Linked DNA regions of Stegostoma tigrinum. The protein of the gene in region 1 interacts with the protein of each later gene in a biochemical or structural test. Links are inferred from orthologs where the notes say so. Each region holds a gene or a part of one and is shown in the gene's direction. Other genes may lie near its edges.

Region 1 (3,751 bases):
AAATGTAGAAGAATAAATTTGTCTTTGGATGCATTGAGCTCGTACAAATTCATAGCTGAGAATAATGAGCTGCTACTAAGAAAATTTTCGTTTAAAACATCACACATACTAAAAGAGGGAGGTTGAAATAGCATGCAGTCTGCTTTTAAGCATGTGATCCAATGAATATTTAGCTACTTACAATGGAATTTTTCATCATGGCTTTCACTGTGAAACCTTCAGTTACTCTATGATCCTTCTTAGGTCTTTGATACATAGTCGCCAGAAGTTTCTGGTTGCCCTTTTCCAGTCCGTAGGCAGCTGGCATTTTATTTGTTGTGAAGGCAGAGTAGCAGTAAGACACCTCCTACTGAACAAATTCCACCGCTGTTATATTGTTCTTGCAACGTTTCGAACAAAATCTTGGTTCACCAACAGCTGGTGGTTTTCCGGGCACCCCGTTGCTAAGAGAGATACATTAAACAAACGCCGTCATTTCCGTCACGCCGAAGGGTTCCCGTTAATTCAGTTGACATATCACGTGACTGGAACGGGCTTATTTTTGAATCATGATGCCCCGACTGCACGTTGAGTGTACCCTCAGTAAAATTGACCTAAAACATTAAAGCGAACACTTTTTTAAAAGACGTTTTGTTTCCTCCTTCCTGATATGAGGGTTACTCTGTTTCAAACTTCACGCTCACAATCGCCGTCTCTCGGGCTCTTTTCTCGGCGACTCAATCCCTCAGGGCACCAACCCTCCCACTTCCTTGGTTTTCACAACCCTTAATGATCTCCGTGGACCTCCTTCCTTTATTTATTCTTTAATAATGATGTATATGGTACTACTTGCTCACCATCTTGTAAATCCTTTTATTTCCAAATTCACGTGTTCGACCCTTTACCCTCGCGCGCCGCCTCTTCCTCTGCCCTCGAACGCACTCCACCACGTTAGTAAACAATCCTGGAACTCCCTGACAAGGAAGAAAGCTGCACGCAAGCGCAGTACAACTTGGCCTACAGATTTTAACTGGAATATCTACAGGCGACATGATGTAAAATTCAGCTTCGCCCAAAGTGTCCCCTTTGTAGAGCTGAAGTGATCAAAGAAATGATCGGTAGGTGATGGCTTGACATAAAGTTATTGCCAGGTCGTGTTCAGTCGTATTTGCAGACGTCATGTACGCACGTCCGGTTAGCATAATAATCCATCATTTTTGACTATAGCAAACGAAAATTTGAAACAAATATTGACTTGAAGTGATAAATCAAAGGTAAATTAGATATAATCATTTCATTCACCATACAGTATACAGTAGTGGTGTAAACAAAATCACTGTCTCCCCGGCGGGGAATTGAACCCCGGTCTCCCGCGTGACAGGCGGGGATACTAACCACTATACTACCGAGGATCTGATGTTTTGTTATTTGGCTTTCAGACTAGAAAAAAGATAGCCGTAGAATAATTAAACGATCAATTAAATCTGAAAGATAGTAAAACTAACTAAATCTAAACTGTTCAATGGTTTAATTAATTTTGTGTATAACTTTATGTATGATAATGTACATTTTACAATGTTTAATGCAAACCAACCCTGACATGACTTACTTAAAAATCTGTGGAGCCATTCCAATTGGCCTGATACTTTGCTGTTTGAGAAAATATGGACCGATTCTGTAAAACATATCTAGTTCCTTGTCATCAATTTCTATTTCAATATACACTTGGTACGATGCAACTGGAGGTTGAAATTTGTTGACAATGAAAGACTTGAGGAAATTTCACTGTACGTGAAACGTCAACTCTGATTTCTCTTCGTATTTAATGCCAGAACCACTGAGCTTTTCCTAGCCATTTCTGTTTTAGTTTCTAAATTACAAAGATGGTCCACAAGGACTGTGACAGTTCTCCCCTTCTCCCTGTACAACCAAGCCAAAGCTGTGGCAAAGATTGCTATGTTGATGACCTCTGAAGTTTGAAATTCAACCAGCGAAATACATTCGGAAAATCCTCTTTGTATTCATTGAAATGCTGTCCTCCATGCATAAAGATTTGCTGCATTTTCCATGGGAATGGAACACGAGGCAAACAAACTAATTGGTGAAACAAGATCAAAGACAAAAACAGAAATTGCTGGGGGAAAAAAATAATCAGGTCTTGCAGCATCTGTTGAGAGAAAACAGAATTAATACTTTGGATCCAGTGACCCTTCTGAGTTTTTCCAGCATTTTTTGTTTTAGAACATAGAACATAGAACATAGAACAGTACAGCACAGAACAGGCCCTTCAGCCCACAATGTTGTGCCGACCATTGATCCTCATGTATGCGCCCTCAAATTTCTGTGACCATATACATGTCCAGCAGTCTCTTAAATGACCCCAATGACCTTGCTTCCACAACTGCTGCTGGCAACGCATTCCATGCTCTCACAACTCTCTGCGTAAAGAACCTGCCTCTGACATCCCCTCTATACTTTTCACCAACCAGCTTAAAACTATGACCCCTCGTGCTAGCCATTTCTGCCCTGGGAAATAGTCTCTGGCTATCAACTCTATCTATGCCTCTCATTATCTTTTCTGATTTCCAGTTTCTTTGGACTTTTCACTTGGTGAAACAAGATGCTGTAGTTAGAAATTTCAGCCCTGTGTCAAAATGGATAATTTGCAGTGCTGTTGCAACATGGACAAGGCATTCTGTAACTAATCCCCATAATCAGATGTGATTATGAAATGAATCCAGAATGATTTACTCCATAATAACAAAGTGTGGAGCTGGATGAACACAGCAGGCCAAGCAGCATCTTCGGAACACAAAAGCTGACGTTTCGGGCCTAGACCCTTCATCAGAAAAGGGGGAAGGGGAGAGAGTTCTGAAATAAATAGGGAGTGGGGGAGGCGGATCGAAGATGGATAGAGAAGATAGGTGGAGAGGAGACAGACAAGTTAAAGCGCAGGAATGGAGTCAGTAGAGGTGAGTGTAGGTGGGGAGGGGATTGGTCAGTCTGGGGAGGACGGCCAGGTCAAGGGGGTGGGATTAGGTTGGTAGGTAGGAAATGAGGGTGGGGCTTGAAGTGGGAGGAGGAGATAGGTGAGAGGAAGAAGGGGTTAGGGAGGCAGGGACGAGCTGGGCTGGTTTTAGGATGCAGTGGGGGGAGGGGAGATTTTGAAGCTTGTGAAATCCCCATTGATACCATTGGGCTGCAGGGTTCCCAAGTTGAATATGAGTTACTGTTCCTGCAATCTTCGGGTGGCATCATTGTGGCACTGAAGGAGGCCCAGGATGGACATGTCATCTAAGGAATGGAAGGGGGAGTTGAAATGGTTCACGACTGGGAGATGCAGTTGTTTATTGCGAACCGAGCCTAGGTGTTCTCCAAAGCTGTCCCCAAGCCTCTGCTTGGTTTTCCCAATGTAGAAGAGGCCACAACGGGTACAGCAGATGCAGTATACCACTTTGGCAGATGTGCAGGTGAACATCTGCTTCTTGAGGAAAGTCTTCTTGGGGCCTGGGATGGGAGCGAGGTAGGAGGTATGGGAGCAGGTGTAGCACTTTCTGTGGTTGCAGGGCAAAGTGCCGGGTGTGATGGGGTTGGAGGGGAGTGTGGAGCGGACAAGGGAGTCACAGAGAGCGTGATCCCTCCGGAAAGCAGACAAGGGTGGGGAGGGTAAGATGTCTTTGGTGGTGGGGTCGGATTGCAGATGGCGGAAGTGTCGGAGGATGATGCGTTGGATCTGGAGGTTGGTGCGGTGGTACATGAGGACGAGGGGGAT
Region 2 (3,751 bases), on another chromosome or scaffold:
CAAAATGCCATCCCTCATAAGTTTGTACATAGATATATATATACCCTTTCTATATTTATCATTTATCTTTAATTCAAGCCACTTTGCTCTGCCTAACAGCCCTGAAATTAAAGTCTCCGACAAAAAGGTCTTCGCTTTCACTTCTATTGTCCTGATTTCTGAACAAAACAACATTCTGACACATTACTGTTGTAGCAGGAAGTCTGTAGGTTACAGCTACTACCCCTTTCTTTTTCCTTAATTGGAGTTGGTGACTTAAGGAATGATCAGCAATTAAGGGTGATAGCAAAATATGTGAAGCGTTTGCAATATCATAAAGTGGTTCTTAAGAACATACCAGTCTATTGTGAGAAGGATCATTTGGTTTTCAGATGCGGCTACAATCCAGGGAAATAAATAAAATGACAACAAACAGTGAAGACCTGAAGCCAGTTGGGGGAATGGGTGATAGGAGGCAAAGTTGAGAGATACATACAACCCCAGCCTCCTCACAGGCCTTCCTGGTTATCTGAGACACTGACAACCCACTGAGAGAAGCCCCTAGAAAAGAGGAGGTAGATATTGTACGAGAGTATCAGTCACTGTCACCCCCGATCAATGACAGGACTGACCTCTCACCTGGCATTGGCCGCAGCTGCACCATCTCCAGTACAACACAATGAGCTTGCACGGTCTCACAGCTGCTACAAGCTCATCACCTCTGAGATCTAAGCGAGGGTTCAAAGCAGCAGGCTGCTTGGTGACCCTCTCTCACTGACAGTCAAAGACACACATGATGTAGAGGTGCCGATGTTGGGGTGGGGTGGACAAGGTCAGAAATCATCAGGTTTATTTGAAAACACAAGCTTTTGGAGCTTCAGTCTAGGTCGGGAAAGGGAATGAGCCTGGCCCTAAGGCTCCATGGCTCTACGGCTCCAGGCCCCCAGGCTGAAGGCCGGGAATTTTGTTTATCTTCGACCCACGTACTGACCACATCCCCAATCTTCACCGTCATTATCGCCACCCATTTCGCACTGGTGGGCGGGGTCGGAGAGGGGAAGTGTGGCGTGATGTGGCGCATGACGTTCTGGGTGGGTGGGGTTCCTGGGAAGGGCGGGGTTTGGCAGCGAGTCTGTTTGAGTGGGACAAGCCGGACACAAGGGGTGAAGGAGGGAGCATGAGCTAAGGAGCGCGGGGCGGAGCCTAAGGGGACAGGGGCGTGGCCTGTGACAACTTCCTCCGGCTGAGAACGCGCGCTTGACTCCCGCCAGCGATTTAAAGGGATCAGCGCAAGCGCGATGAAGAGAGACTAGCCGGCACTGTGGAGCGGAGCTGGGCTAAGAGCGGGAGCCGGCTGAGGGCTAACTGGAGGGAAGCATCAGCGGCAGGCTACAGAGCAAGAAGACAGGGGGCGATAAGACCATAGAAACGGGGCACAGATACCGAGGGTCACCTAGTGGTGAGCACCAGCTGACACCCCATCAGCGCAGGCTGGTCGTACCCACATTCTTCCCGGTTAAACAGCAGGCAGCGCGGGGTCCCGGCTTCGGCCATCTTCGGCTGTGCGCTGAGATCAGAGGCCGGCTTGGGGCTGAGTGCCCTCCCTCTCATCCCCTCTTTTCCCAACACCAGTAATGTGACTGGGCCAGAGGAGCGTGGCCCCCACCCCATCCCGCGCCCAAACCTGAGGTCCACTCCTGTGAGTAAGCAGCAGCAACCACCTCACTACCTCGAGAAGCGACAGTAACTTCATGCAGCCTCTCCCTTCTGAATTACAGGAGATCTTTAAACCACACAAACAACACTGAAGATGCCCAGAAAAAGGTACATTTTAAAGTGAGTTGAAAGCAGTGCCGTGTTACCAGTTATAAATTCACGGTGGGTGTCTCTACAAGGCCTAATCTCTACAAGGCATTTTGCCATAATGAGCAAATGTGCATTTTTTAAGCTATTATTTCTTTTCAGTGAATTAGTAGACCAATCAACGAAAACTGAAGAAACGAACAGGATTGTGCTGCATACCCGAAAGCGAAAAGCCGACGTTGCCATTGTAAGTTTAACCGCACATGAATATGCCATTGTGCTTTAGCACGCTTTCTAAGTTTGGTAATCGGTCTTTTCTGATCGTAGTGTTTGCAAGACTTGGATGAACTTACAGAAGTGCAGTCTACGAAACCATACGAAAAGGAGGTAATAGAATATGAGGTCTGCAGGTTTTATTTAACTATGACTTTTGCTATGCGTAGATGATTGTTTGTTTAGCCAACCTCTTAATCTTGAGCTATTTCGATTCTGGTCAACATGTTGCCACTAACTGAATAGCAGTGTTGTACATTGTTTAGGCATATAATCCAGGCCTTGGTCGTCTTGAACATGTTTTGGTTTCTCAGGAGCACTTGATTAGCTTCACAGTAAGCAAATTATCCAATAACTGAGTATTAAAATTAAACCACTGTGGTGGTTTCTAGAGTGCTTTTTTCCCCTTGACCCAAATATTTTAATAAAATCTGGGGTTTAATATCTTTCAAAACTAGCCAAGAGTATCTAGCAATGCTAGAATTCTAGTGTGGCAATACCAATAGATCTTGCAGTAAGGTTTTGTGAAGCAGGTAGGCTGGGATGTAGGGCACCTGGGCAGAAATTTTGGTTGTAACTTTTTAATAGTTTTATCTCAATACTTTGGATCTGGGTAAATCTAACACTGGAAAATCAGCTCAAAATTGCACAATTTAAAAACTTCACTCAGGGAACTCACAAGTATGATGCAAGAACTAAGTGTAAGAAATAGCAACAGGAGTAGGTTGTTCAGTCCTTCGAGCCTGCTCTGCTATTCAACAAGGTGATGGCTAATCCAACTTTATGGCTCCTTTTGTACAATGCTATTCACACTGTCCCTTTACCAGAACAGCCCATGTTTGAGTTGCCACTGATCCTGTCCTACCATTTAACCAACTTAATTGAAGGAACATCTTGTAGCATCCCTACAGTGTGGAAACAAGCCATTTGGCCCAACAGGTCCAGTCTGCCCCTCCTGAAGAGCACAACAGTCAGACCCATTTCCCGTGCCTAACATCCCTGGGCACTATGAATTTATTACGGCCAATCCACCTACCCTGCACATCTCTGGACTTCAGGAGGAAACTGGAGCACTCAAAGCAAACCCGTGCAGACACTGGGAGAATGTACAAACTCCACACAGACAGACCCGAGGCTGGAAGTGAACCTGGGTCCCTGGCACTGAGGCAGCAGTGCTAACTACTAAGTCTCTGCGCTGGCCCAAAGGGTGGAGAATGTGGGCTCCGATCCTGCTACCTCACAGTTCTAGGTGAATTGGAGTAATTCTGCCAAGTTGTTGGTTTTTTTATTCCTTCTCTAGCTTTAATGAAAGATAGTCAAGCATGGTTCTAACATTACCAGCTAATCAAGTGATTCTAGTGAATTGGGGTAAAGTGACAGTATTGGAATAGCAGCATGGAATGTTAATTGAGAGGGATTAGCCAGTTCAGACTTTTGGACTAGTGATGTTTTTTTGCCACTGTTAAGCTGAATTCAGTCTGAAAATTGACAACTATTCTAATGATTAGTTTGTTTGCAAAATTGACTAATTGCAGGATTGCTGGACTACTGTAGCCAACTGTATGAGTCCATACAGACTACATGCAACATCATGCACAAATCTAGATGACATGGTTACATCAAATTCTACTAGCTGTGTGCAGTACAGGCTCAAAAATGTTTTAGCCACTCCAACTAGAGCTTCACCATTACCAGC

The links.
Region 2: of the proteins of prkn (region 1) and ccne1, one has a biochemical effect on the other in vitro, tested with the Homo sapiens proteins (2 studies listed by BioGRID). The link is inferred for Stegostoma tigrinum from reciprocal best matches to the Homo sapiens genes PRKN and CCNE1.

What each region holds. Positions count from the first base shown.
Region 1 is NC_081362.1:24,016,736-24,020,486, forward strand, and holds the start of prkn (E3 ubiquitin-protein ligase parkin), read left to right. Parts: upstream 1-1,031; 5' UTR 1,032-1,090; coding exon of another isoform or gene 1,091-1,097; intron 1,098-1,319; exon of another isoform or gene 1,320-1,391; intron 1,392-3,751. Other genes in the region: parkin coregulated gene protein homolog, read right to left, coding at 837-1,031. UniProt on the Homo sapiens protein: Functions within a multiprotein E3 ubiquitin ligase complex, catalyzing the covalent attachment of ubiquitin moieties onto substrate proteins. Substrates include SYT11 and VDAC1.
Region 2 is NC_081369.1:32,655,830-32,659,580, forward strand, and holds the start of ccne1 (G1/S-specific cyclin-E1), read left to right. Parts: upstream 1-1,142; 5' UTR 1,143-1,789; coding exon of another isoform or gene 1,790-1,815; 5' UTR 1,816-1,903; coding exon 1,904-2,029; intron 2,030-2,109; coding exon 2,110-2,169; intron 2,170-3,590; coding exon 3,591-3,751. UniProt on the Homo sapiens protein: Essential for the control of the cell cycle at the G1/S (start) transition.